Drosophila melanogaster: one gene and its partners. The protein of the gene in region 2 interacts with the protein of the main gene of each other region in a pairwise test. Each region holds a gene or a part of one and is shown on either strand. Other genes may lie near its edges. The genes, in order: RpL32, CG31999, Cpr64Ad and zld.

The links.
Region 1: the proteins of CG31999 (region 2) and RpL32 interact in a two-hybrid assay, tested with the Drosophila melanogaster proteins (one large-scale study listed by BioGRID).
Region 3: the proteins of CG31999 (region 2) and Cpr64Ad interact in a two-hybrid assay, tested with the Drosophila melanogaster proteins (one large-scale study listed by BioGRID).
Region 4: the proteins of CG31999 (region 2) and zld interact in a two-hybrid assay, tested with the Drosophila melanogaster proteins (one large-scale study listed by BioGRID).

Annotation. Positions count from the first base shown.
Region 1 is NT_033777.3:30,043,502-30,050,326, reverse strand, and holds RpL32 (ribosomal protein L32), read left to right. Parts: upstream 1-4,186; 5' UTR 4,187-4,405; coding exon 4,406-4,437; exon of another isoform or gene 4,438-4,465; intron 4,466-4,540; coding exon 4,541-4,640; intron 4,641-4,702; coding exon 4,703-5,014; 3' UTR 5,015-5,098; downstream 5,099-6,825. Other genes in the region: CG15528 (uncharacterized protein), read left to right, coding at 918-1,518; CG7943 (uncharacterized protein), read right to left, coding at 2,109-2,423, 2,491-2,620, 2,684-3,237; Sry-delta (serendipity delta), read right to left, coding at 5,547-6,825.
Region 2 is NC_004353.4:222,517-231,072, forward strand, and holds the start of CG31999 (uncharacterized protein), read right to left. Parts: upstream 5,233-8,556; 5' UTR 5,160-5,232; intron 4,035-5,159; 5' UTR 3,319-4,034; coding exon 3,246-3,318; intron 1,924-3,245; coding exon 1,429-1,923; intron 1,371-1,428; coding exon 1,041-1,370; intron 497-1,040; coding exon 275-496; intron 221-274; coding exon 138-220; intron 83-137; coding exon 25-82; intron 1-24. Other genes in the region: yellow-h, read left to right, coding at 5,489-5,724, 6,389-7,055, 7,395-7,883.
Region 3 is NT_037436.4:4,211,897-4,218,787, reverse strand, and holds Cpr64Ad (cuticular protein 64Ad), read right to left. Parts: upstream 3,410-6,891; 5' UTR 3,339-3,409; coding exon 3,324-3,338; intron 3,249-3,323; coding exon 2,520-3,248; 3' UTR 2,374-2,519; downstream 1-2,373. Other genes in the region: Cpr64Ac (cuticular protein 64Ac), read left to right, coding at 5,915-5,926, 5,989-6,543; CG43367 (uncharacterized protein), read right to left, coding at 1-20, 73-424, 486-766, 824-1,131, 1,194-1,318, 1,383-1,551, 1,610-1,997, 2,061-2,204.
Region 4 is NC_004354.4:19,778,035-19,786,452, forward strand, and holds the start of zld (zelda), read right to left. Parts: upstream 5,515-8,418; 5' UTR 4,820-5,514; exon of another isoform or gene 4,475-4,819; 5' UTR 4,253-4,474; coding exon 1-4,252. UniProt on the Drosophila melanogaster protein: Transcription factor required for zygotic genome activation (ZGA), a critical event in early embryonic development during which the developmental control passes from maternally provided mRNAs to the expression of the zygotic genome after fertilization.

The DNA of each region.
Region 1 (6,825 bases), on a different chromosome or scaffold from region 2:
GGGCGATGACAGCAGGAAAGGCGGCAGGGATTGGCACCTTCTATTTGATCTCTATTTGATTGGATGACTGGGGGTGCCAAGGGATGAGAAGATGGAGCGGGCAAAGGGAAACCAGATGGCAGACCTCTGTTTCCATTATAAGGTTGGAAGTCAGGAAATGATATAATATGAAAATATGACTAATCCCAATGCTGCCTTCGCTGATCCCTTACTACATTATATATATCGAAGGTAACTGACCTCTTGGATTTTCCCAGCCAAACGGATTTGGATCCAAAAGATCGGAGGTGCAGTGGTTAATATCCCATTATGCGATGACTGATCTGTTTGTTTACGCATTCGCCAAATACCATTTTAGAACTGCGCTATTTTCACATCGCCTCCATTTATTATACACTCCGCGAAACTAATTATAAACAAGCATTTCTGAGGTGTACAGATACAAATTTGGATATAGTATATACATATATGTGTATATACTATATGTAGGTATTTTGGCAATATGTTTATTGTTTGTGCCTACGCAACGAACTCATAGAACCATGACGTCGACCCATAAATACGTAGGCGATGGGATGGGATGGGATCGAATGGGATTGGATTGGATGGGCTGGGATGGGTTGTTTTTCCATTCACAAAAACACACACGAATACCTGCCATTTGTTTATGGCCCATTTGTTTTTGGCTTAGCACCAGTTGTGCTCCTTTGTTCGCCCGCGAAATGTTCTTATTTTATCGGGTTTTTCACCCACTTTGAAGTGCACCAGGTTGTCCAGCCAAATATTTGCGCATTTATGCCATTTGGCAGAGCCCCCCAGAACTTTGTAGCTATGTAAATTTAACGCATTGCATAAGCTTTCTTTTGTTCGGAAAAAGAATGAGAACTCACCAGTATTCCCTCTTTGATTCCTTGCAGTCAGCTGAGTGCATCCACGCTAGAGGATCACACGCCGTTTCCCGGTCTGTCCCGCATCACTCCATCGCTGATCCTTTGCGGTGCCGCGGCGGTGGTGCCCGCCTACATGGACAAACTGGGCGTGAGCTGCGTCATCAACGTGGCGCCCGAGCTGCCGGACACACCACTGCCCAGCCAGAAGAACCCGCTCTATCTCCGCATCATGGCCCAGGATCGCTCCGAGGTGGACTTGGCCAAGCATTTTGACGAGGCGGCCGATCTGATCGAGGAGGTGCATCTCTCCGGCGGCTGCACGTTGATCCACTGCGTGGCCGGCGTCAGCCGCTCGGCCAGCCTGTGCCTGGCCTATCTAATGAAGCACGCCGGGATGAGCTTGCGCGAGGCCTACAAGCATGTGCAGGCCATACGTCCGCAGGTTCGCCCGAACTCCGGATTCTTCCAGCAGCTGCGACGGTACGAGCAACAGCTGCGGGGCAGCAGCTCGGTGGCCATGGTGTACTTCGCCTCGCTGGACAAGGAGATCCCCGACATACTGGAGCCCGAGTACAGGGCCATGGAGGACTTCTACCAGCGCTACCGCAGCTCCCTCAAGAGGCGATAGGCCCGTTGTGCCGCAATTAATCTTACTTGTGATACTCGTACCCTACCACTAGCCTTAGATTAGATGTTTAAGTTGTGTGTGCTTAATGATAATGAAATGAAATGCTGAAACTTACATAAGATGTACGCTTAAGCCTCGTTCGTAATTACAAATACACTTTTATTTTCGTTTAAGAACATTGAATCTACCGCGTTAATTAATCAGTTGTAGTATCTTCAATCAATCACAAAGTTATTGGCGAACACAAACAACACACTCGTATTATATCGCACATCATCTAGTATTATTTACACGTACACGAAAAGTAGCTAACTAAACCGTAACTCGAAGATTGGGTACCTTTAAATGCTCACGTTGTATTGTACTTGGCATCCGCGAGGCGAATTGAATAGATCTACAGGTATACAGATATACAGATATGAGTAGGAGGAGCAGGCGACCTCCGCTTGGGATGCGTGTATGTACATTAACACCTAGAATTCAGCATCTGTGCACAAGCGACTTAGGCGAGACTTAAATCGAACGAAATAATTGGCTAGCTAAAGGCAGAAGTAACCGTTTGTGTACAATCAGCTAAGTTAACTCTAGTTCTACTCAGAGGCCAGTGGCAACGGCGGCTGCTGCTGCATTAGTTTCTTTAGGTTTTCGTACGCCGTATTCATGATGCCCCAGCTGATGAAGGAGCGGCCTGTGTTGAAGGGGCATCCGCGATAGAAGTTGCCAATGCGGCGATCGCGCTCTACGTAAATTCGCTTGCACGCCTGCCAGCTGCCCTCAGACCTCTGGCCCATCTCACTCTGCAGCGACACCTTGATCACATTGAGCGGGTAGAATATTGTGCTTATGCTCGCACCGATCACGGCGCCCGCTATGAACTCCTGCACTGTTCGAGTGGATACGGATTTCTGTGGATGGGCAACGGATTGGTTAGTATCTTAGTAGGTTCGTATGTGTGATAGGGTCAACACTCACTCTCTTAGGCAGCCGGACGCTGGCCTCTTCTCGCAGTACGAAAAATAACGCGTTGGACAGGCCGTTGCGCCAAAATACTGGTTCGAGTCCCCTGTAGAGCTCCCGGTAGCCGTGGTGGGAAACCACATACCTGTGGAATGATTAAAAGCCATAAGAAGATCCCATTAGCAAACTTAAAGATCCGTCAGCTCACCTGAATGCGTTTTGTGTGTTGGAGAAGTGCTGGTGGAACTTGGAGTCCGCGAGGAGGGTTTGCACCCGTTCGAAGGGCAGGAGGATGGACTCGGCGCTGCCGGCCACCACGGCCGCTAGCACCTTGGCCCCGTAGTCGTTCAGGCGGTAGTCCTCCACGAGGTACCTCCTCGTCCCGTCGAACACACCGAACATGATGGACAGGGATATGGTCTTCTGGGCGAGCGGCGGCAGCATGCCGCGGTACAGGAAGCCCAGTCCCTCGTGACGCAGCTGTGCAAAGGCCGAGGTGATGGGCACGCCGTGCAGCATCTGACGGAAGATCATCTTGTAGATGGGATAGGTGACCGCGATGTTGACGAAGGCTGCTCCGCAGCCGCAGGCGAACTCCTCCCACTGAAAGGAGCCGAAGAAGCGCTTCGAGAAGACGCTGCCATGCAGCAGTTTCCCCGCCTCCCCGTCTCCATGTGGGCTGTGTGCTCTTCCGGATGGAAACCTTTTAGGGGGCGGTGGGTCGGTGGTTTTCGCGACGTTTGGTGCTCCATCGTCTTTCATCTTGCTGCTGTCCTGTGTTTATTTCGGGCGTGTGGAGAAGTGCGCATTTGTCACCGCGTTACCATTGTAACTATTCAAACACGGGGATTGCGCTGGTTTGGTTTGTTTTGGTTTCGATTCGCATCGGTTTTAATTATATAATAATGAAGAAGAACCACGGTTTGACGGCCACGGCCAGTGTGACCGTCGCTGGACCTCTGCTGCATACCAAAGGACTCTGTTATCCAAATTGTTCACAAGCCAACCAAAATTAATTGTCGAACTTAAATTAGCAGCGGCGGCTTTGAGTTTTGTACTCGCCCTTTTCGGTAATTTACAAACTTAATATAACACCGTATAATTAAAATATTCTTAGCAGTGCGTTTAACAGCACTGTCACTTTATTTTGACCGAATCACCCTGTGTACTTGTTCCACTGACGCAAAGACCACCCTATGGATCAGAAACTTATCATGTGCTGGTATGCATTGGGTGCTCTAAATCCACGACTTGGATGCTTTTGTATTAGCCTCCTAAACCTCGGGAACACCTGCTCCTTGATCGCTTCTGTCAGCTTTTTACTTTTTCATTCCCAGCTTTCTTATCGTTTTTTATCAGATGACGGTGCTGCAAAACATCTATTGAACAGCTGTTGCATCCAGTGTGTAAATGAAATATGTTCACACTGCACAGTGGGTCAAGAGGCAAAGCATATTTAATTATATAACAAACTCCACCAAGCTGAAAATAGTTCCATATTTTGTTGCACATAGTTGCAATCGTCGCAGTTGCTCGGATAGTGATTAAACCTGCAACACCTTATTTGACGCGCCCAAGTTTAAATTCATTACACGATGATCCGCAATATATCGCTTGGCATCGCCATGAACGAAACTATCGGCGAATCATCGACGCACGACGTATCGATGTTTTTTCACACCACCAGCTTTTTCTTTTCGCTTCTGGTTTCCGGCAAGGTATGTGCGTGATTTTGGGCCCACGTGTATTTCCATTAATTTTAAGCCGTAATTGTCGTTTTTGGCGGTTTCGAGTTGAACTGCGTTAGTCCGTGCGCTGTTCGCAAGTGTGCGGCTCGTATTTCGACCGAATTCGGATCGATTCCTGTGAGAGTTCGCCAAATGGCTTCTGTTTGTGATGGGAATTCGTGGGGCGACACACCGGAAACTCAATGGATACTGCCCAAGAAGCTAGCCCAACCTGGTTGAATTATGCATTAGTGGGACACCTTGTGTGTTATTAGCTTGATAAGTGATATTTCCAGTGGGTCAGTGCACTAATGGCTACTTTTGTTGTGTCCTTCCAGCTTCAAGATGACCATCCGCCCAGCATACAGGCCCAAGATCGTGAAGAAGCGCACCAAGCACTTCATCCGCCACCAGTCGGATCGATATGCTAAGCTGTCGGTGAGTGCCAACGAGGATTGTGCCAAATTGTACCCGTGTTTAATCAACATGTCTCCTTGCAGCACAAATGGCGCAAGCCCAAGGGTATCGACAACAGAGTGCGTCGCCGCTTCAAGGGACAGTATCTGATGCCCAACATCGGTTACGGATCGAACAAGCGCACCCGCCACATGCTGCCCACCGGATTCAAGAAGTTCCTGGTGCACAACGTGCGCGAGCTGGAGGTCCTGCTCATGCAGAACCGCGTTTACTGCGGCGAGATCGCCCACGGCGTCTCCTCCAAGAAGCGCAAGGAGATTGTCGAGCGCGCCAAGCAGCTGTCGGTCCGCCTCACCAACCCCAACGGTCGCCTGCGTTCTCAAGAGAACGAGTAAGCTTAAGATTCTTGAGAGTTCTTGTAACGTGGTCGGAATACACATTTGTAAACGTTAATATACCGGACTTTTAGTTAAAAAATGATGTGCGAGTGCCGAGTTCAATTGTCATTTCTGAGATTGGGATAGCAGCACCATTGATAACATGTGCATTATCTGGATGGATATCAGTTAATCCAGACCATTGCGGTCTTTCTTTCTGATAGCAACTGCCTCGAGATATTAGACCAATATAAATTCCTTGACGTGCCAAAACTAGACAGCATCAATCCTTATCAGGGAATTTTGTTATATATTTTACATTTTTCCCCCTTAGTATTGAAAGAGGTTGTTTATATGAAATCATATATATATTCGCAATTATTTTTACAGAACAGTGTACAATTATTATCGGAAATGCTTCTGTCTAAATGAAACGCAGTAATTGAAATACCAGTAAATTATATTTTGTAGGAATCTACAATAATCAAGTACAAAGAGGAGGAAATACACTAGGGAAAGATAAACAATTACTTATTGTAGGCAATGTAGCTTATTTCAAGACCACGTCGTGATCAAATTGCAAGTGGTGTTCGAGCTCCTTCTTGTTCTCGAAGTTGGTATTGCAAATGAGACAGAAGCCGCTGTTCTCATCGTTGTCGGACATGATGACGGTGACGGCCGCCTCCGATTCGTCGACGTCCACATGCAGCTCCTCCACCACCTGCTGCTCGTCGGCGGGCGCCTCCTCGCGAACCCCGTAAACGACGTCGCCCTCGTGGGTCTTCATGTGCATCTTGAGGGTGTAGCGCTCGGTGAAGGACTTGGGGCAGACGGAGCAGTAGTGTCTTGGGCGGTTCTCCTTGTGAATGAGCGTGTGATGGTTGAAGGTCTTGCGCGACTTGAACGACACATTGCAGATGCTGCATATGATGGGGTTCTCCTCAGCCTCGTGGCGCAGCCGGTGGTTGTAGAGTAGGTTGTCCTGGGAGAACCTCAGGCCGCACTTCTCGCACTGGTACTTCTTCTTGTCCCAGTGCATGCGCATGTGGCGCAGGGTGTTCACCGGGCGCGAGAAGCTCTTGGGGCAGTAGCGGCATTGCTTTTCCGTCTTGCCCTCGTGCAGATTCATGTGCAGCTCCAAGTACTCCTCGTCGCGCCGGATCACCCCGCAGATGGGGCAGATGTGGTTGGGCTGCTTGGAGTGCTCCTCGCTGATGTGCTTCTGCAGTTGATACCAGGAGTTGTACACCTTGCCGCAGGTAGTGCACTCCTGCTTGACGCGCTTCTTCGTCGGCCTGTCCTCGCCATCGGAGGACTTGCCATACAGGGCCTCGGAGTCGCCCACATCCACGTCCTCGCAGATGAACTCGTCGTCGTCGTCGTCGTCCTCCTCCTCCTCCTCGTCCACGAACTCTCTCTTTATCTCCGTGTCGGACTCCTCCTGATCCTTGACCAGCTCCACGAACAGGGCGTCCGCCTCGGCATCGGCGTCTGTCTCGACATCGCTTTGGGGTATCTCCACCTCCTCCACGAGTATGTCCTCGCCGGACTCCGGCACCTCGAACTCGGACTTTAGAGCGCCCTTTAGCTGGGTCGTCAGCCTCTTCTGGGTGGTCATCAGGTTCACCATGATCGTGTCGTAGTCGGAGAGCTCCTGAAAGCAGCGCGGGCACAGCCGGGCGCCGGGCTTCAGGTCCAGCTGCGTCTGGATGCAGTTGGCCAGGTGGGTGAGCACCAGGGACACTGTTTTCTGCGACGACGGCACCTTGGCCGACAGCGTCTCGTAGCGCATGGAGCTGGAGGAGCCCGTGTCGCTCAGATCGACGGCG
Region 2 (8,556 bases):
ATATTTTTTAACAAGGTCTCTTACCGTCACAATTCCCCGTTTCTGCATTTAAGGTATAGCCTGTTCCGCAGCTTTGTAGGCGCTATATAGAATACAGGTTGTAACAAAAGCAACATGTTGTATACAGATTAATATACCGTGCATATATATGATCCGATCGTGTTATCACATCTCTGAGTTGGAAGGCAGTTGTGATTATTTATTGAACATTCATTTATATCTATGGAAGTCAAAATAAATAACAATCCTTATTTTACTGAAAAAACGTACTTACCAACACACTTATTTAGTGTAGCATCCAAATTAAATCCAGGCAGGCAATTGCAGGAATAACTTCCCACTGTGTTAACACATTCCTGATTACTATTGACATGACAGTTGTTTAATGATTTATGTGAGCACTCGTCAATATCGGAACAGGTACCGTTATGCAAGCTGAATCCTTTATCACAAGATTGAATTTTAACGCATTTACGATCTTTGCATTTGTAATCATCTAAGTGAATAGAACGCACTTCAAATTAAAAAAGCTAAAATAATAAGATTAAAGGAATGCTATAGATCGGATTTTTAATTTTCAGATACCGGATTAAGACTGATTAAAAACTAAAATAATACAATTTAAAAATGCTATATATAAGTTTTTTAAACTTTCAGATATCCGAACCGATTCATAGCTTATACCTGTACTCGCAGAGATAAAGGGCATACACGACATATTGAAAAATATGTTACAGGGGTGTGCTCTTTATTTCACGCCCGCAAACCGCCAAAACTGGAACACCCGACACTTTTAGGAAACGTTGTCATTTTTGTTATTTAATTGTTAGTCTTTTAAATACATATGCCAAAAAAGTTTAAGCCACGCCCACGGCCGAAAGCTGCCCAAATTGGCAGCACATTTGTGGATGGAATGTGTTTATTGTATAAATTTTAATTTTAAAATATCCCATTACCCATCCTAGCAGAGTAAAACTGATAGTCCAGTTTAGTCTAGACTATCTAGTTTTATCTGTATTTCAAACAGTTTTTAAAATTACCTTTACATGCATCGTAATCATGGTCATAATGAAATCCTGGTGGACACTCTTTTTCTTTCACATTTAAGCAGTGGTATCCGCCATTCGTATTATGGCAATATTGGGATGATTTGCAGTCATGAAGATCTTCCCGGCATTCATCAATGTCAATGCATTTGTTATCCAGTTTATCTAAATTGTAACCGCTGGGACATATTTGGGTTTTCATCGGAGAGCATGTTACGTTGTTATTATCTAACATAAACCCGGGGTGGCACTTACATTGGTATGCGTCGAAAGTGTTTTCGCATATGTGAGCGCAAAGGTTTTCAATTTTTCCACATATGTCATCTACCAATGAGTACAATTAATTATGATTTCAAATGATACACAAATAAGATATACTTACCATCGCCGGTAAGAACAATAGTTACATTCATATCCTCTTCAGAAACAAACGGCAATTCACCTTCATCAGTAATAGAATTAGCCTTATCGATTTCGTCGATACCGGGCTGGTCTTTAAAGTCAGCAGATCCGTAACAGCACGCTCGGTATGATTCAATTAAGAAAATAAATGAAAATAATGGATCTTTGCAATTGGCTTTACTCGCTTTAACTGCTAATCCGATTTGACAAGAACGACAACATGTCGCATAGGAGCTAGATGTTACATTTCCTTCTCCGTCACAGCGAGTACCGTCTAAAGCAGCCAGTCGACCTAGCTCGCAATCTTGATGGTCCAGTTCTCGAGAACAGCAGACTTCAAGTGTAGAATGACAAAGTCCAAGCCAGAGCTGCGGGATTATTGTTGGGGCTATGTCGATTTTTTTGCAAGAGGCGGTCGTACGAGCATGTCGAAGTCCATTTATACAGCATTTTCGTATATAACCCGATATGCTGTCTTAAAACAAAATAAAACTTTCACTTTCGCTTGATCACAGGATATTTTAAGCCAGAGTATATATTGGTAAAAATCAAAAGGTTTCAACTCTATAAGTATTCTTAGTCAGTATCAACACATGAGTCCATATGGTGATGTCCCTTGCCCGAGGCTAGCATTCTTTTTCGTCATTTATCAATTTCATATCCGAAATCTAAATACCTTAGTGTGGTAATAATTTTAAAGCCTTATAACATAATAACTTAATAACTTAATAACTTAATAACTTAATAACTTAATAACTTAATAACTTAATAACTTAATAACTTAATAACTTAATAACTTAATAACTTAATAACTTAATAACTTAATAACTTAATAACTTAATAACTTAACAACTTAATAACTTAATAACTTAATAACTTAATAACTTAATAACTTAATAACTTAATAACTTAATAACTTAATAACTTAATAACTTAATAACTTAATAACTTAATAACTTAATAACTTAATAACTTAATAACTTAATAACTTAATAACTTAATAACTTAATAACTTAATAACTTAATAACTTAATAACTTAATAACTTAATAACTTAATAACTTAATAACTTAATAACTTAATAACTTAATAACTTAATAACTTAATAACTTAATAACTTAATAACTTTATAACTTTATAACTTTATAACTTTATAACTTTATAACTTAATAACTTAATAACTTAATAACTTAATAACTTAATAACTTTATAACTTAATAACTTTATAACTTTATAACTTTATAACTTTATAACTTTATAACTTAATAACTTAATAACTTAATAACTTAATAACTTAATAACTTAATAACTTAATAACTTAATAACTTAATAACTTAATAACTTAATAACTTAATAACTTAATAACTTAATAACTTAATAACTTAATAACTTAATAACTTAATAACTTAATAACTTAATAACTTAATAACTTAATAACTTAATAACTTAATAACTTAATAACTTAATAACTTAATAACTTAATAACTTAATAACTTAATAACTTAATAACTTAATAACTTAATAACTTAATAACTTAATAACTTAATAACTTAATAACTTAATAACTTAATAACTTAATAACTTAATAACTTAATAACTTAATAACTTAATAACTTAATAACTTAATAACTTAATAACTTTATAACTTTATAACTTTATAACTTAATAACTTTATAACTAACCTAATACAATTTTAAAGATTTGCCCAAAATATACAATGGGCGGTTTCAGTAGGCAGGTACATATATAAATATTCATATCTATTGACATATAAGCAAGTATACTACACATTACTTACCACTGGCCATTGTGGTGGTGACATGCCCTCCAACTATCAAGAAACACATAAAAGCACATAGTTTATAAAACATAACGGGTTCAGAAATCAAATCCGGGTAAAAAATAAAATTAATATAAAGATGGGAGCTTTAAATGAACAGGTCAGGCAATGAATGAGAAAATAAAGAACGCTCATGTGCATACGCTATCTGGAATTATCTCAGTCACTTAGCAGCGCACACATGCATGTTTGTATATGCTTGTATGTATGTATAGCAAATATATAATTTTAGAACGAAGAGGATTTAAGACTGAAACGCGTGTGGGCCAAAGCAAGCTGTTGACATATGTATGTACATATGTATGTATATAAGCCTACGCTATACGTTACATGTATTTACGTACATAAATATGTTTATTGTTCGACGACCTGCTGTTATATTTTCTTATTAAACACACTTTTATTTGCTAATCCCAGGTTTTGTGAATTGGAGCAATGTGAATTATTGAAACTAGGTAAAGGTAGCAGAAAACGTTTAAGATATGATCAATATACATACATACATATGTTCATTCAATTTGGTCACATTCTTCTCTGGCATCCTGAGCAAGTGCTCTGACCGAGATTCGGGGGTTCGCAATCACTATTCGTATAATAATGCGGTCTACGCGCTTGATAATTTTGGTTGTGCGCCAACCGACTCTTAGGTTCAAGCCTCTCCTCTTTTTCCGTGCGATTTAAAACATTGTAGACGGTCGTACGGGATACAGAAAACATTTCTACTAATTCTGGAATAGATTTTCCCAACTGGTGGTTATAGTTTATTAATTGGGTAACTTAAACAATTAATCTCTTTCCAGGCATTTTATCAAATTTAATAATTTACTTTAAGCACGTTCGATCAGCAAAATTTCACAAGCAAAGTCAAAAAATTTCAATAGAAGCGTAAAAATGCAATACAAAAACCAACCACGGAAAAACCAAACCAACCAAAAACCACGGAAAAATCGAGTTAGTTCTAAGAAAAAAAACAAGACAAAGTACGAAAACAAAATGTGTAGAGTTTCTTGACTTGTATATTTAATATTTTAATTTGTTTTTTGATTTATTAGTATAATAAATATTGTTTAATTAAATTTCATAAAAAAATTCCGTTTAATTAAGCAAATAACTCTTAATTTTTACCATTAAAGCCAAAAATTCAACTTATTTCACAGTGTGCAAACAGTTTCTTGACAAACTGTATGTATATCTCGGTAAAACCAAAGACACTATTTTAGTGTCTAGACACTATTCTAGTGTCTTTGGTACAACCATACCTGCTTAACTGTGACCGTCGTTTTGTCCGCTCTTTAAAATTTGAATTTTTTATTATATTTTATATTTTATTATACATACATACCTACGTTTTATAATAACTATACACAGATAAACGATGACCGACGGGGGCAAAGAGCTTAAAATCGGCTAGCAATCTAGATCAACAACATACATATATATGTAAGTGTTTACTTATAGGGTCGGAAATGGTGGCTTATATGTAAATATATATACATACAAATATATATACTTTTTTTTGGCGCAGACTATTTACCCCTATTACCCATCAAACCAAACCAACTCTTAAAGATGTGAAAAAAAGTGACGATCGAACAATCTACATGCAAGGATCTGATGTCAACATTTGAATTCATTCAACACTCTTTAAAACAATATTTATTTATTTTTTTAAAACTTATTTATATAAATCATTTGATGGAATTGAAATAATAGCTGTTTTTGCCAGCAAATAGATTGAGATATTGAATATAATACAAATTTTCTTGATCAATCAAAACCATTTGAAAAAATTGATGAAAGTTAAAATTTTTGTTAATACTGAGGATTATATTGCTCATGGTTAGTTTAGAAAAAACTCGTAAAACTCAATACCGATTAAAATTTGGGACAGGTCCGATAGTGAAATTAAGGCTACACGTTTGAATGAAATGCGAAACAAAAGAACAAATTCAAACAATTTCGGCTGGTGGAGATCAAGACAACACATAGATAGATACATACCTACATAGTTGAAAAAGCTTTAAAACAAAGCTTAAGCGTTGTCACAATACCTTACAAAAAAGCTCTGATCTGCATCAACAAGCATGTAAAAGATATTTTAAACATACATACATTAAATCAGTCTTTAAACGTTGGTAGATCTGGTCGATTGATTCCATAGAGTACATTTTTGAGAATTATTTATTTAATATTCAGCTAGGATGCAGTCTATGACTATCTTTAATATAATTACACAGTTAGTTTTTTTATCGAAGACTTTAAATGGAAACTTAAGTGTTCAACCAGTTTTCCAAACACTTGATGGCTATGAATATACTTCGCAGTCGTTTTCGCAAAACTTACAGAGTGAAAGTCAACTGGAGATCGTTTATGAATGGAAATATTTGGATTTCCTATACTCAACTTTTGTGCAACGCCAACAATCTATTTTAAATGGGTAACAAAACAATTTGGTTATAACAGTTTCTTACAAATCAAGAGATAATTTGAAAAATGTATTAATATTAATAACAAATTGTAGTACTAGTAAAAAAATCAAAAAATACGCCTTTAATAAATTTAAAATGCTTGTATTGTGAGAGGTATAAAAGAAAATTCGAAAAATAAACTATTTGACGCTCTTATGTCACAAATAGTCGAGATCCCCGACTATCAGATATCCGTTAATCAGCTCGTGGAACTGCGAATGCGAAAAAAAATTAACAAATTAATATCTTATCTCGAAAACTATAGGAGACTAGTTCTTATAAATACTTTCTTTTCATTCGAATCATTCAGTGCGTCTCATCCATATCTTTAATATTGATGAATAAATCCTAGCATTATCTCTAATGCTATAGTCGAGATCCCCGACTATCAGAATCCCGTTACACAGCTAGGGAAAATGCAAATGCAAATAAAGATCGACGTACATGGCCAGTTCGACTTGGCTATTGATCCTTATAAAGAATATTGTATATGACCATATAGAACATGGTCAGAAACGCTTCCTTCTGGCTGTTACAGACTGTTACATAAAGGATTATCATAATCTGGCTTTATGTGTTATTCTACTGCGCTGAATTTACTGTCTAATTATTATAATATATTAATATTTACAGAGACTTTGTACCAAAAAATAATTTACCTTTAGGCATTGATGTCCATAATAACCGCCTGTTTGTGACAACTCCTCGTTGGAAGAATGGTGTGCCTGCTAGCTTAGGTACACTGCCCTTTCCTCCAAAAGAGTCAAGCCCGGCAATAAAGCCGTATCCAAACTGGGAGGCTCATGGAAATCCAAACAATCCTGACTGCTCAAAACTGATGTCAGTTTATCGAACAGCTGTAGATAGGTGTGATCGAATTTGGCTAATTGATTCTGGAATTGTCAATGCTACAATAAACTTAAATCAGATCTGCCCACCAAAAATTGTTGTGTATGATCTTAAAAGTGACGAACTGATTGTTCGATACAATTTGGAAGCTTCTCATGTGAAGCAAGATTCGTTGCACTCCAATATTGTTGTGGATATTGGAGAAGATTGCGATGATGCGCATGCTATCGTATCGGATGTATGGAGATTTGGTCTACTTGTTTACAGCCTATCAAAAAACCGCAGCTGGCGCGTGACCAACTATAACTTTTATCCGGATCCCTTTGCTTCGGATTTTAATGTATACGGATTAAATTTTCAATGGCTGGATGGTGTTTTTGGAATGAGTATATATTACAATAAGAAAATAATGGAACGCGTTCTTTATTTTCATCCAATGGCAAGTTTCAAGGTGAGTATAAGGAGTATATAAATAAAGACAAGAAAATGGCTGGGAATTGATTTGATATTGATTTTAAAAAATGCCTTTCTTAACATTGTCTTTATTGTCTAAATAATGGCTCGCCGACTTACTTTTAAAAACCCCTCCTACAGCTTACTACTTGATCAGTCTTACTTAAGGTACTTAAATAAATCTAAATCTTAAGTAAGCTAATTATCTGCAGCTTGTAGGGTCCGAAAAGGCTTATTTCTGTTTTATTTTTATTAACCAAACTAGCAATCCCTTATACTCTACGAGTAACTGATATAATAATAATAATAATTGTGATTATAATACTTTCTCATTTAGGAGTTCATGGTGCCTATGAATATCTTGTTAAACGAATCTGTGTGGCAAACGAATACTCAAGAGTACGCCAAGTACTTCATACCAATTGGAGACCGCGGATATAATTCTCAATCATCTACATCAGGAGTTACAAGGAATGGCATTATGTTTTTTACACAAGTTCATCAAGATGATATTGGATGCTGGGATACATCGAAACCATACACTCGAGCACATTTGGGAAAATTTCATAATATGGAAAACTCAAATCTTATTCAATTTCCAAATGATTTAAAAGTAGACAAAGAAAAAGATCAAAATGTATGGCTTATAAGTAACCGACTACCAATTTTTCTATACAGCAATCTAGATTATGGAGAAGTAAATTTTCGAATTTTAAAGGCGAATGTAAATAAGATTATTCGCAATAGTGTTTGCAATCCGGATAATAGTTATATTAATACATCAAAGTCAGCTTTTGTGTTGATAGAAGAAGGACAGTGTTTTTGAAAACTATGGTAAATAAACAATTACACAACAAAATGTTGTAAATTTTTGAACAACCTTGGTATTTGCGTCCGTTACAAATGATACTCTAGTACCTTTTTTGAAGGTTTGGGTCTAACAGATTTTTGCGCTTTGTTGTGTCCAAGCAATTAACTAAATTGACTAAAAGAATAACAGTTTTTAAACGTGTACGAGTTCCAAATTGGCATAAGATCGGACTTTTAAGAACATACGTATCTAAAATTAGCTTTCTAGCTTTTAAAATTTTAAAGATCACGAAATTAAAATGGACGTACATTGCTAGATCAACTTGGCTTGCGATTCTGCTCGAATATTCGAAGTATATTCTTTATGGGTCAGCAGTTCTTCCCTCCGCCATTCTAGTTTTCAACGAATGAATATTAGGGTTCAAATTCAAACGTGTATACAATTGTTTGTAATATATTTATATTTTTTAGTCGTACTGTGAAAGGTTATATCCAATTGTAAGAAGTAACAGGTAGGGAGCGTGTTCTTTCTTCTATTGTATCTTCAAGTTCGTGTTATCGTCATTAGTTTCCTCTGAAAGTGGTTTGATTTTGGGTGTACTTAATATAACATCTCTAAAAGAGAATATTACTATCTATAAAGAAATATCGAACATCAATGGATATATGTATATTCATGTTACAGTATT
Region 3 (6,891 bases), on a different chromosome or scaffold from region 2:
CAAAGATCCGCTTGCGGTTCCTTTAAAGATATGTACATTAATATGACCGATTTGCTAAATCTTTAAACATACTTTAGATTAGCCGTTGTGGCATCGATTTCCAGCAGGAATCCCTGATCCTTATCAAACGATAGCCACGAATTGCAGCCCAATATGGTGGACTTCGATATGCTGACTAGAACATCGGGACTCAGCTGCAGGAACGATCGCGGAGGACTTCGCGGTGGACTCAGGTACACAATGGGATCCTTGGGCGTGGACAGCTCGCAGTAGTACTGCACCACCTTGTCCAGGAACTGAGTAAGATCCGGCCTTCGGAGCTCAGCACGTACCAGCTTTAGAGCCGTCTCATCCTGAGTAAGGCGTCGTGGATGTGGCTCCCGCAGCAGCTGTGAAGGCACTTGGCCAAAGTTATTAATCATTCCTAATATAAATGAATGGATGTCAATAAAAATAGCAAAAAAAAAAGTCTTGGTGTAAGCCACCTTCAACCGCCTCCCGTTCTACAGGGTTGGTGATCTTGTCCAAATCCACAGCGCCTTCATAGGAGCAATAATAGAAAACGTTTAGAGCCTCAGCTGCCTTGGGTCCCTTTTGCTTATACCCAAAGATCAGATCAATCCAGTGGTGCAGATGCTGACTGACATACTCCGATTCCAAAGCCCGTCGGTGTATGGCTATGAACTCCTCCGGCGTGGTAGCCCAAGCAGGCAATATGACATCGTCCACCTTTTCTTTGGTTATTTGTAAGTGGCCCAAATCAAATCTGCACATAAAATAACATTAGGCTAACTAAGTAAAAGTAAAAAACCACATGCATTACTTATTCATGTTCTTAAGGAATTCTGGGAAGTAAAAGAACTCGGGGATCAGCTCCTTCACGTCATTGGGATTGTCCATTAGCAACTTCCACGTCTGAGGTATCGAGTGGAATTGTCGATCGGCCACATCGAAACGACCGCTCTGCAGATCAATGTGCAGCGAGGTGAACGGTTCGACGCGAAGCAAATAGTGGAGCACGCCGGCCGAGTTGGAGTAGTGGGTTCCGTAGTGAAACTTTGGTATGGCACCAGAGGGGTCCTCGAATGAATCATATTTGCCGCGCACTTCGGCCTCGTTTTTAGGATTTATCTGCGGTAGAAATGCGTTTGTCATGTAACTGATCACCTTTTTCTATTTTCAGTAATACTTACGCATCCAATGGGTTTGGATAGGTCACGGAACGATTTTGGATCGGTAAGATCCAGCACGTCACTGGTGTAATCAGCAAGGATCCAGGGGAAGACGGGGTATTGGCTTAGATCATTGTAGGATCGACCTAGTTATGTAAAATACGTTAGTTTGATAAAAATGTATGTAATAATCAGATGTTATTTGCTTACCTGCGATTGTGTTTAGGTACATCAAGTATTCAAAGTTGGAAATCTCACGATTGATCCATCTCTGTGTGAGTCCCGAGGCCCTAAGCAGCTCAGCCGGCGATCTTCCCGAGCCGTAGAGTATGTTTGGAAGCGGTAGACCCACGATTTTTGTGAAAACTTTATTTCGAGTCTTAAAGAAATAAGAACATTTGCAATGATCACATTTTATTTACAAAAAAAAAACTCACCTTCGTCGTAAAGTTGAGGAAGTAGCTAGTCTGATCCACCAGGAAGATTTCCAAAGCACTCCTGCGCAGATTGTACTTTCGCAGATGAACCTCACGTATCTTGTTGGTGGAGAACCTGAAATCGTATTTGGAACCATCCTCTGTTGGCGGGCTCAAGTCCACAAAGGTGAACACGCTCTGGTTAACCTCAATGCGTCCCTTCACCTTGGTCATCAGCGTGATCAGCTCACAGTCCTGTGACATGACTAGCTTCTCCAGCGCCACATCCTGTTGCGCTTGCGTGTCGATCAGTTGACGTAGTTCCTCCTCCAGCTGGGAACTTTCGTCATCCGCCAGGAAATCGCGCACCACGGCATTCTTGATGGTGGAGTCAAATTCAGAGATTTCCCTAAGATAAAGGATATTGAAAATCAGATTATGAAGGACACTACTAAGGACTGGCTGGGCTTACTTGGTGTCGTAGGCACTGGTCGCATTGTCGCGCAGATTGGCGGCATTCTCGTGTTTATTTGGATATAACTGAGGCTCCAATTTCAGACGCATCCTGGCCACGTTCTCATGTTGCGAAAGCTTCCAGAACTCTTCATCCACTTCCCTAAAAAGAACACCAAGTTTTAAGTGTAATCCTTAAAATATAAAGAATGATACATATAAATATTACCTATAAATATTAAAGCTAAAATACTTAAATAATTTTCTTAAGCCTCTATATGATATCACTCTCGTAATCCAGGATGCCTTTAAACAATAAACTACAATCTTTTGTTTTCAGAATTTCTTTAATTTTGGGTTTTTGCGATGAAAGTTATTCAATAGCTCGACAATGATTAATCGAATATGTACAGATGAAAGTCCTTTGTCGAATTGCGGTCAATACTTCCTTTACGACTCCTACTTCTCCTCCTTCTACTTAGGCGACGATGGGAGCGGCCAGGGTCTTGGCGAAGACTGGAGCGGGGGCAGCAGCCACAACTGGAGCCACTGGAGCAGCCACGGTCTTGGCCAAAACTGGAGCCACTGGGGCAACAGCCACGGGCACATCCTTCTGCACCACTGCGTTGAAACCGTTGATGGAGTCGGCGTAGTAGCTGACAATACGACGGGAACCATCGGGCTCGATCAGAGAGTAGGATCCACGGACGACATCACCATCACGAGTCTCCTCCTGGGTCTTGGAGTCACCGGTTAGCGTATCCTGGACATCGTAGGCGAACTTGTACTGTGGGTGGGCATCCACGATCTCGGTGGCGATGGGAGCAGCAACTGGAGCAGCCAGGGGAGCAGCAACTGGAGCAGCCAGGGGAGCGGCTACTGGAGCAACTGGGGCAGCGAGAGGAGCGGCGACTGGGGCAGCCAGGCGAGCAGCAACTGGGGCAACTGGAGCAGCGAAGGGAGCGGCGAAAGGAGCGGCAGCGTAGGTCTTGGACACCAGGGGAGCAGGTCCCGCCACCAGAGGGGCGTTGTATCCCAAAGGAGCCGCGTAGCCCAGAGGGGCGGAGTACGCAGCCGGGGCGAAGTATGGAGCAGGTCCCAGAGGGGCGGAGTAAGCCAGAGGAGCACCCAGAGGAGCGGCGGCCAGAGGAGCGCCAACCAGACCAGCCTGAGCCGAGAGGGCCATCGAGGAAAGGACTGCAACAACCTGTGAGGAAAATGCATGGAGTCCAGTTTAGTCTCCTGACCTGACGGGTTCACCGAAGCCATCACCAACACTTACCGTCAGAGGATTCATTGTAAGGCTTGGGTGGGGGTTTAGTGCGATTGTCACCGTCGGTTATCGAAAATGAACTGACATACCTTGGACAAAAAAACCACGACTTTTATACCCAGATGCGTTCGCGAAATTTGCATGCGGTGCTCCGTGGAGGGAACTGCGTACCAATTGCGTATGGTAGCCCATTGTCCGAGCTCCTTGCCCCCCGCATCATCACCATCGCCGCTTTTTGGGGCCGCCTCTTCCTACCCAGCATTTGGCTGCGTCTGCGTCTCGGGCTTTGATCCAAATTCGCAGCACGTACTCCAATTTTCAGTCGTCTTGCGGTGGCTACACCAAGTTTTCATTTTTATTTGCCACTGTTTTTGCCTTGTTCGGATCGAAAGTGAATGCGATTTGATTATATTTCGGAGCAGTAGTTTTCGGTAATTGTCATGCAGGTTCCATCCAATGACAGTGCTTTTAATTTTCCTTTACACCAAAAGCGCGAAACTTATAATTAAGTTACCATAATGACGTCGAGTTGACAAGGGTTCAAGCTCAAAAACTTAATATTAATATATCTCTGGGATAAAAAAGTATCTTTAGAGTGTAATGATCCTGATTTTGATGTACTACTTGAATTGGTTGTCTCAAATAAATTGGAAAGTTTCTTATACACCTTATTGGGTATCAATTACTTATGCTAATGAGTTACCACTTATACATAATAAGGGTTTTCACAAGGGGTTCGGTTTCACTTAACAAGGTGAAACTGGGTCAATGTGGCCCAGTAATATCGATTAGACTAATATATATACTATATACCCATATATTACTATTGTAAATCTATTGAAAGATTATCAACATTTGATACATCAATTATATTGATATTATTCTAATAAATGGCCATGCATTTGGTTTATGTTTCCATAAGGAGATTTTTAGTTCCTCCCCTAAACGACTTTGCTGAAAAGGATAAATCTTATTTTAAATTTAACATGCTTTCCTAACAAATATCTTCAGTAACAACAAGAATCTCTGGTCTTTTGGAATTTGCCTAACTCCATGGTTGATTAAAGATTCCCCATCGATTTCGTGCTGTAACTGGTGGCTGGTTTTGAGTTCGTGACTCTTTTCCTAAATGCAACCAACGACCTTGCGACTCGTTGGCTGCGGATTCACCTCGGAGAGACGCTGAGCGATCCGGAGAAGCGGAGAGAGCCCCAAAAGTTGGCACCAAATGGTGGTATTACTCGTCGGGTTGTGGTAGCTGACTAACGGTTGTCGGCGTAGATTGTCGCCACCGGAAACCAGCATGGATATACAGTCGTCCAATTTGGCCAAAGCGAATGGAATGCTCCACTGCCATTTATGCAGTTCCTTGCCCAATCGCTTGACTCTGCTCTGAGATGAGAATTAATTAAAAGTGGATGAAATACTAACCACAGCCACTTAGCTGCCAATTGTGAGCAAGGTCGCCGCGGTTAGAGCTTCCAAATGCCGGCTAAATGCTTTTTGGCCCGATCGAGGCAATTACGGTGGCTAAGTGACCGGGCTCAGCAATGTGGGCGCTGGTCCAGTTGGTCAGGTGGAAATCGGATCGTCGAGGGGTTAATGCGTGTGCCAGTGCGTAATTGCGCCTGCGTCCCGCCCAATTCCATTCCCTCCACCAAGCCGTCGAAACTTGCCATTTTCGTTTTCTAATTAAACGAGTGGCTGCGAACGATTGATCTTGTTTTTATACCCTGCACTTTGGGTGGGCACATTGGACATGTATGTTACTATGAAGATTACTCGCACGTCACGCAAACCAAGCGAAATTTGCTTGCGTTTGGACAACATGGCGTGTGAGTGATAATCGGCATAACTTAACAGCAGGCATTTCAATTACATATTCAAATATTGATTGAAGTATGTTCGCCAAATGAGTGTTTACATATCCAATTGTAATCTTGGTTTCATACATTTTCAGAAAATTGAGAGTAAATACATATTTTCATTAGGTCTTTGATGATATTAAAGATTTTTCTTGAAAGGGTACCTACAATCGCTAAAAAAGCACTGTCACTGTTCTTGTGGCAACTGCAACTGAAACTGCCACAATATGAGGCACTTATTACATCAGACAAATTTTGGCTGGAGAACCTGAGAATGTGCCAAAAAACGGCGAAAAAATGAAACCAGATCGGCCAGCGAGTCAGCGGAAAACGAGTCTGGTGTTGCTGGTAGCTGACTAGCTGGGTATCTTGGAGCGGCGCTCTTGAACGGACTCAAATGGACTTCGGTGAGTGGTGTGCCTCGGCAGCGGCGGCTGCAGTTATTCCATTGAGAAAAGCCAGCACCAATGATGAAATCCGCACCAGAAACACGAAATCCGCCATCAGCGATGAGGTCTGGGGTGCAAGATCGAGATCGAGATCGGGCAGCCACCAAATGAGACGCAATTGTCACTCTGCCCATTAGATTGTCCAGTTTTTTTTTCCGCTGGCAGCTGCCGCCAGTTTCGAATATAAAACTGAAGACCACGCGGAAAATGCATCTCACATTTGAGCTGAGTTCTCGCAGTGCAGACACATCCAAACCAGAGCTCCCTCATTCTCACATCCTTCGCCATGATTGCCCAGGTGAGTTGGCCAAAGGAGTGCAGCTTTTAGTTGGCTCAACTGATCATGGAATTCCTCGCCAGACTCTGTTCGTTTTGGGACTGATCCTGTCCGCCGTTGTGGCCATTCCCATTGATCCCTATGGACTTTCGGCCCCTGGACTCACCTATGCGGCTCCCAAGTTGCTTGCTGCTCCTGCCATTTCCTATGCTGCTCCCAAACTCCTGGCGGCTCCTGCCATCTCGTATGCCGCTCCTGCCATCTCCTATGCTCCCAAGGTCCTGGCTGCCCCCGTCGCTGTGGCCAAGGTGGCTGTTGCCGAGCCCTACGATCCCAATCCGCAGTACAGCTTCTCGTACGGAGTAACCGATCATCACACCGGTGACTCCAAGCAGCAGGAGGAGACCCTGGTCAACGGAGTCGTCCACGGCAGCTACTCCCTGGCCGAACCCGATGGCACTATTCGCAAGGTCACCTACACCGCCGACAAGGTCAACGGATTCAATGCGGTCGTGGAGAAGAAGGGCGTGGCCGCGGTGGCCATTGCCAAGCCAGCTCTTGCCGTCGCCGCCGTTCCCGCCATCACCAAGATTGGATACGCTTCGGCGCCTGGTCTGAGTCTGGGTGGATACCACTAGGCGATGAACCGGTGGACCAAGCGATGACAAACTCCATGGCCTAGTTGTAGGACCGTTGTTAAATAGTTCTAATGCATTTACCCACTTTTCTGTCAGTCAAAACCCGAAACACAAGGACGTGCGTGCTGTTGCCACCCCGCTGTTGACCCACATTCCCAATCTCCGATCGAAGGATCGCCACCATAGACTACGTTTAGGGATACCGTTCTGGGGATCTGGGGAACGGCTATCGGCCACTTAGTGAATTAGTAACTGCATTTACTGAATAAAAGTTTCGGTACAAAAAAAAAGATTGAATGAATTGTTATTAGTTGTTCGATGGAACTGATCGGTTGGAAGTGATATTCG
Region 4 (8,418 bases), on a different chromosome or scaffold from region 2:
AGATGTCGCACATGTGCTGCTTCAGCCCCGTATGGATGGCCTCCACGTGTCGGCGCAGATCCGTCTTGTGATGGAACTGCTTGGGGCACAGCTCGCACTTATGCGGCTTGTCCTGGGTGCGGTGGCGACCCAGGTGCGTGGTGTAGACATCCTCGCTCTGAAAGCGCTTGCCGCACTTCTGGCAGCGAAATGGGTACTCACCGGAGTGGAAGCTCTTGTTGTGCTGCGTGAGGTAGCAGTTCTTGGTGAACTCCTTGTCGCACTCCAGACACTTGATCCGTCCCGATGGCAGGGTGGTCGAGTGCGGCGACGTCGATCCGACGCTGCTGTTCCGCCGTCGCTTCGTCGTCGATGGTGTTGCGTTGCCGCCACGCCGCTTCTTGGCCAGCGGCTGTTGGGCCATCGTCTGGGTCTGATCCGCCAGGATCTGTTGCTGCTGCTGGTGGTCCAGTTGCTGCTGGTGCTGCTGCATCTGATCCAACTGCTGGTGCTGCATCTGGTACTGCTCCATCTCATAGTCCTGATGGTGCTGCATCAGCGTGGCCATATCCATCTCCAGTGCGGGAGTCGCCCGCGAGCTGCTCACTGTGGGCGAGTAGGGCGTGGAGAGCACAGTCAGCGTTGGCGTCTGCGCCTCCTGCTGCCCGCCCTGCTGATGGGCATGCAGGGCCGTCGTGAGTGTGTGAACCGGCGGCAGATCGCCCTCCTGCGGCGATCGCTGGGCGGCCACCGAGTACGGCGAGAGCGGTGCATATGGCGCGAACAGGGATGTTGGCATCAGCTGCAGGATCTGGCCATCGCTGGTGGTGATCTGATTGCTATAGCCACCGCCGGCCGTTCCGGTATGCGCCTCCGGGCCACTACCAATAATAGTGTGATAGCTCATTGTGGGGTCCAGCGGCTGCAGCTGCTGGTAGCATTGCGGCGGCGGCGGCATGATGGGCATGTGCATGGTGGGCGGCATGGGCATGGTGCTGGTGATGTGCGGCGGCGGCGGCTGCAGCGGCAGCAGCTGCGGCGCTGTGATGGTGGTGAGCGGCATGGGCATGGTGGGCGGTGGGGAGCTGCTGGTGGGCGAACTGCTGCTGTGCGGCAAACTGTCCGCCAGGATTAACGCCTGCTGCTGCTGCTGCTGCTGATCCAGTTGGTGAAGCTCCCGCTGCTGCTGATGATGATCCGCCTCCTGGCGCTGGTGCTGCTCCCCCAGCTGCTGATGGAGCGGGTGGAGCACCGCCTGGTAGTGGTGCACCAGCTGCTGCTGCGGCGGCTGCATAGTGTCCGGCATACTGGTGGTGATGGTAGTAGCTAGCGGCGTGGTGCTGGTGCTGCTGCACTGCAGCATATTGCTGTGCATGAGCGTGGGCATGGGCATGGGCATATCCAAAGCCAGCATGTTGTAGTCCATTGCCATAGGCGGCAGCATTCCCATAGGCGGCAGCGGCTGCGGCGGCGGGGTGGTGCGCGAGAAATCCGTTCCCTGCTGCTCCTGCCGGTAGATAGTATGGGGCGAGTTGCTGCTGGGCGTGCTGGGATTGGTGTTGCTGCTGCTGAGCGTGTTGGGCGTGCTGCTGTGGTAATGACGCGCCGACAGCAGATACTGCTGCGACGCCTGTTGATGCTGATGCAGGTGATCGTCCGCCTGCTCCTGATCCCGCAGCTCCTGCTCCTCCGCCTCCTCCGTGGCCATTGAGCTGCTGCTGCTGCTGCTGTGGCTCCTGTCCTGGCTGTGACTGTGATTGGGATGCGTGTGTGTGTGGGTGTGAGTGTGGTTGCTGTCCTCCATTTGCTCGCTCTTTATAGCTACCGTGGTGGCCGCCGTTGTTGTTGTTGTTGCTGTTGTTGTGATTTGTGGTGCTCGGGTTGTTGTTGTTGGTGGCGGCGTGGTTGTTGTTTCGTTCAGCAGGCCCCTCATTTGGGAGGACGGCATTTGGGTGGTGTTGTTGTTGTGTGGGGCGGAGGGACCTGCTAGCCCGTTTGGGTGACCGTTCAAAACGGAGTTGTGGTGCTGCGGCATCTGCTGCTGATGGTGCTGCTGCTGTTGTTGCTGCTGCTGCTGGTTGTTGCTGTTGTTGTTGGAAGCGTGCTGTGGTGAAGCGTTTGTCGTGGATTGCACTTGTTGCTGCATGTAGCCATAGCCGTTGGCGGTGCCATTAGCATAGCCGTTGGCCTGCTGCTGATGGTGGTTGAGGTGGTGCTGCTGCTGCTGTGTGGGCGAGGGTGAGGCCGAGTACTGGGACATGGCAGCGCCGCCCATCGCTCCCACGCCCAAGCCGCCTCCTCCGCCATAATCGGGCGGACTTCTAGGCGGCTCCGGGGGTGGCACATTGGCCGGCGGCGGCGGTATCGGCGGCTGTTGCTGCTGACCCTGACCGCTGGCCGAGGCGGCAGCTGCAGCGGCGGCCGCAGCGGCTGCGGCATTGCCCCTGCGACTGGGCTTCGTCACCGGGTCGCGGGCGGGATGGTGGTGCGCCGAGATGGGCAGGGTGGCTGGATCCGGCTGGCCGCTCGACTTAACCGCATTCTTGTGCAGCGTCGTATTGTAGTGGCGCTTAAGATGGCCCGAGCTGGTGAACCACTTGTTGCAGGCCGTGCAGTTGTACGTTTTCGGACGGCGCGCCTCGTTCGACTTCCAGGTGGCCGCCTTGGCCGTCAGGCTGTTGGCCGGCAGCACGGAGCTCGAGCTGGGTGGCTCGAAACCGCGGTATCCACCTCCTGGCGCCGCACCCGCCGCTCCCTCCTGCCCTGGTCCGCCCGTAGTGGTGCTGGGGAACTCCGCCGGACTGGTGGCCACGCTGGCGCACAGTTCCGCGCCACCAGCTCCGCCAGCTGTGGGATCGAAGGACTTGTCCACGTAATGCTGCGAATCGGGATACTCGGACTTGATCAGTCCGTGGCCGCCGTACTCCTGCTTGATCAGCGTGGCTCCGCCAACGCCGGTTGACTGATGATAGGGTGACTGCTTTGGTGAGTAGTAGGGCGACTTGTCCACACCGACTCCCAGCCCCACGCCCAATCCCTGCTGCATGTAGGGTGGCAGGCCCTCCACGGAGGCCACCGTCTGCTGTGGCTGCTGCTCCCAGCTGTGGAGTGCGCGCTGCTGCATAGATTGCATCGAGTGCAGCGGATCCGGCAGAGCGCCCAGCGGCAGTCCAGCGACCACGTCGTGTTGCTGTTGTTGCTGCTGGAGCAGCTGCTGGTGATAGACCATCTTCTGGGAATCTAGGTCGAGTAATTCGCCGGGATTGGCCGTTGCGGATCCAACGCCGGGTGGCTGTGGTGTGGGCATCTCCTCCTTGATGTACGGTGAACTGGCGTAACCGCTGCTGCCGTACGGCGACTCTCCGTGCACGTTGGCGATGTGCTCCTGTAGCTCCGACTCGTTGGTGGTGAGGATGCCGCACTTCTTGCACTGCAACTTGCATCCGGCACTTCCGGCGGCTCCGCCTGGTGAGCCTGGTGTCTGGCCACTGGAGCTGCCCAGCTGCAGGTGCGAGGACGTCGACGTTGGACTGCTGCTGCTAACCACACGCGGACTCATGGCCACCGCTGTGGTGGTGCTGACCGCGCTGGGCGCACTGCCCGCCTCCTCCTGTGCCGAGCTGGCCGTTGGAATGCCTCCCAGTCCGGAGGTTGGCGTCTGCAGGTAGGGATGATAGCGAACACCGGCGCTCTTGCCATAGTCAACGCCCACGGTGCCAAAGGCGTAATCAGTGCCCTGCTGCTGCTGCTGTTGCTGCTGGTAGAACTGCTCGTAGCTGTTGATGTAGCTGCTGGCGTAACCCTGCTGCTGCTGCATGTCCCCGCCGTAGAGTCCGCCGTAGATCTGCTGCTGTTGTTGCTGCTGTCCGCCAGATGCGGAGTACATGTGGTGGGTGGCGTACGGCTGGTGGGTGATACCCGTTACCTGCTGCTGCTGTTGCTGCTGCTGGGGATCTCCTCCACCCATGGCCTGCTGCTGCTGCTGTTGCGATTGTGGCTGCTGCAACTGTTGCTGCGTCGATTGCTGCTGTTGCGTGGGCTGCGGCGTGCCGGGTTGATTATCACTGGAGTCGGCGGCGGCGCTAATTGTGGCATTGGGTGTGGCGGGCGCACTGCCTACGCCTCCCGTTCCTCCCGCTCCTGGTCCGCCCGATCCTCCTCCACCTCCTCCTCCTCCTCCTCCTGCTCCTCCCCCACCACTGTCTGTAGCACTGCTGGAGGCGAGCGCCTCTGCCGCGTGCAGGGGCGGCATCTCGGTCTTAATGCTCGTCATGGACCGCTACATAAGTCGATGCTTGGTGGCTGCTCGGTGTTTCGCTTCTCATGTCTCGAGCTCTCCGGGATCAGTGGTGCATCCTCTGCTCCTGCTGCTACGCTGCTTGCTTTTCGTTGGCTCTGCTGAGCCGATCGTTTTTGTTTTGGGTTTTTATGTTATATGCTCTCGTTTCGTTTTATTTTTTTGTGATTTTTTGTTTTTTTGTGCTTTGTATTTGTACTGAAAATAAGCCAATTATTGTTTAAGCCATTATTAGTTTGAAGTTACTTGAGTTGCAAACGGAAAAAAAACAAACACATGCACACTGTGTTTTCAAAGCTTTTGGTGTCTAACGGTTCTTGGTGTCCATTTCACTTCGATGCGAAATTGCAGGCACTTTTGTAATTTGATTTGTATGGTGGAAATACAATAGCTTTTACTTGCGAACGTAATGTCAACTGCAATTGTTTGTGGAGAGCACACATGGACGCTCACGACGCACACTAACACACACACTCGAAAAAAATATATACATGAAGGATCCTCGATGAAGATCCCTTTTCCGTTCTCTTTTGCTTTTCTTACTTATCTGCGCCTCGCTTTGGGCACTTCTTCGTTGGACTTGGACTTCTGCTTCGCTCCTTCTTCTTCTGCTCCGCTCCTCCTCCTTCTTCTCTTTCACCGCTCCTCTTCGGCGAAACGAAAGACACACAACAGCAGACTCGATAAATAATACGAAACTGAACTGAACTGAACTGAAGAAACCAATATCGGAACCGCAACGAATGCTGGTCAATTTTGAATTTCGAATTTTGTTTTTGCGAATTGCGAGGGAAGCGAGAATGGCGATGCGATGTGATCACACTCTCCCTATCTCTCTCTCTCTCTCTTTCTTGCTCTCTCTCGCCACTTTTTTTTTTACCGGTGATTTAGAGTTTTTCGGTTTGGGTTCGCTTTTCGCTTCGCCCTTTTCCAAAAGATCACTGGAATTCGCGTTTATCGTTTATCGGGGATCGGATCGAACAGAAAAAAATTGTTTACGAACACAAGTATTGCATCGGAATTAAATTTGTTGTTGATTCCCGAGCCGCGATTAGTTCGTTTAGTTTGTTTTTCAATTGGTTTGCCGAAAAGTTGTTGCCAAAAATGTTGCGTTTTGTGAGTGGGGAAAATGAAACAAAAAAGGGCGCTAAAAGTAGCCGCTCCACTCCGTTCGCACGCTTCGTCGCTTTTTCACCCGTGTCCTTCTGTCTGCTACGGCGTTCCAAATACAAATGACCGACAAATACACCGCCGTGCATGCGGCACATTCGTTCTACCCGTTCTGCCGGCAGCGACGCCGGCTGCGACTGTGGCTGCGGCGTCGCAGTCGACGCACATGCGTGGCTGTGTGTGTGTGTGCGCTATATACACTGCGCGGCGGCGTTTCGGTTATGTGCGTGCTGTCTCTGTCGCGCACGGCTGCCGTCAACGCCGCTGCATTTGATTTTGCTTTGCTTTTGGTTTTGCCTTTGCTTTGCGCTGCCTTTACTTTGCAATACCCTTTGCATTGAGAGTACCACAAGTTAGCTCGGAATCAAGATAAAGTATCCCATGCATAATTAGCATTAGTTGAGACCTAAGTTTTGCAATCTGTTTAGATCGAACTAATAAATCCTCTCGAAGACATGTACATAAACGATTAGTCGCAATTTGAATGCTTATATTTTTATGCCTTGAATGGCATTATTAGTGAAAACTGATGTTTAATATACATATATACATATGTTTTATAATGCACACATATATACATACGTTTTATAATGCACACAAATTTGAATCCTTTTTTGCAAGCCATCACAATTTTCCACAGAAAATTGCTGAACGGTTATAAAAAAGTAATTTAAGTAAGGTCATTGATAACCGGTTTTGCACTTAACAATCCGTAGAATTTGGATGGATCGCAATTGTAAAGTGTATTTGTAATAATACACAACTTCTGCATTGCCTTTCTAGCAGCAAATCAATAGCTTTGATCGTGTTAAAATGATTTTCCACTGTTTATTTATGAAATTATTTCGCTGTATTTGCGTTTCTGGATATATACAGCGAACTGCATATATTTAAGCCGCCCTAGGCACTAAAAATTTTATATGAAATTGTTTTCTTTAGGATGGTTGGATTTCGAAATGTTTATTCCGATCTCTAGCTTAAAACTCTGGCAGTTCGTAGAAGTCATCTACGCTATGAAGAACTTACCATATAAATAAATGTTTATGTACTCTATTGTAATAGCAAAATTTAGCTTAAGTGGCGATAATGTGGATTTTTCAAGAACACAGCGAAGATTGGTTGGCCCTTTTGTGTGATCCACCGATTACCATATCGCAACTCGCCTAATTTAAAGCTGTGTTGCAGTTCTAGGCTTGGTTGCTCAGTTGTGCCCGTTTTTTTTTTTTTAGCCTTGGTACGAACGGCGGCTTATTAATAGACTCCTCGAAGCGTCTTAGTCAGATGTTGACTCACTGGACCGGGCCAAAACCAATTCGCACTACTAGCCTAGTTTCTGAGCGACCGGCAACCGACGATTATCGACGTCACGGGCCTCGTAAAAGTTGAGAACGTTCAAAAAATTAATAAACCAAACTTTTATTGCGTTGGGCATACGGGAGTGCAGAGCTGAGAGACAACGAAAGCTAATCTACATTTAAAAAGAAAGGAAAAAATCGTAAGCTAGGACTAACGGATACCCTGTTATCAGATTCTGTCATAAGATCATAAGCTCACTAGAGAAACTTTTTTAAATAGAAGACTAGAAGAAGACTAAGCATGTAAGTAAGTATGCATAAGTATGTATGTACATATATATTCCAAAGATGCAGGCGATCTTTCGTCTTTCGAATGGGTATGCTTTTTCCAATCTACGATTAAGGGGTATAAATAGCGACAGAAAGGGTTTGAATCTGTTGGTAACTATGGGGTTTCAAGTTGTTTTAGGTTTTATTTTTTTTTTTTTTTTTTGCTGGGCAACTGGAGCTGGGAATCAAGCTCAGCTGAGAATGGCCCAAAAGTATTTAAAAATTTCGTAAGAGAAAAGGCGAGGGCTAATGGAGCCCAGATACGAGTACCTCCATCGCAGCCACACAGATACGAACTCCACTGTGCGGCTGTGTGCGTGGGGCCTTGAGGAAGAGTTTAGATTGGAGTAGGGCCGGAGGAGGGAGCGAGAGAAGGCGAGAGTGAGGCGGCGGAGAAGAGTGCGACAGAGAGGCCTGAAATTTACATACATGATTGTCATAAAAAATCAGCAAGCAAATTGTCAAATCCCTAAACTGACAATAAAACAATAAAGCAAACGACGAAGACGAAGACGCGGGCGAGACGGACGACGAATGTGGGTGGAAGTGTGGAGAAGAAGGCGAAGAAGAAGGAGGAGGAGGAGGAGGATGGGGCAATGCGAGGGAGGGAGAAAACGATTGGCGAGTTGAGTGATTGGCAGTGAAAACCGGCTGCAAATCCCGAGATCTGATATTCCACATATGTATATGTATGTACATATCTCACGGATAGTTAAACTCCGTTAGGAGATATCTATGAAACCAATTTGTTGGTTAAAAATATATTTTTATTCAGTATATTTAGTATACATTCATACACTTATGTATATCGTCACTATTCGACGATCTGCTGTACATTTTCTTTGTATTTCTTTGATTGCACAGTTTATTTAGTGATTAAAAAATGTATTAAGCCTAGTTAAAAAAGCCTACTAACCATTTCTTAATTATCATTAATTTAATATTGAGATAAACCCCACAATTTCCATTGATTCCCTAATCGGTAATTAACTTATATATGCATATGTTCATACTTATGTACATATGTACATATGTTATAGAGAATTATGGACATGTAGAAATTGTTAGCATATGTTGCCTGCGGTGGCAGGTGGCAAAATGGCTGGAGGGGAGAGCATTGCTGCAAAAGCTGATGCAACTGTTGCAGCTGATGCAGTCGACTGCAATGGGATTAGCCCATTTTATGGCGCATTTATGGGCACGCAACAGTTGACCTGCAGTGGCAAAAGTTGCAGAACTTCCAGGCAGGTCATCTGCCCCTCCAGGTCTGCAGATACAGATACATGGTAGCAATTAATTATACCCTGTAATCGGATGTAATAACCACGAAGTACCAGAAAGCGACAC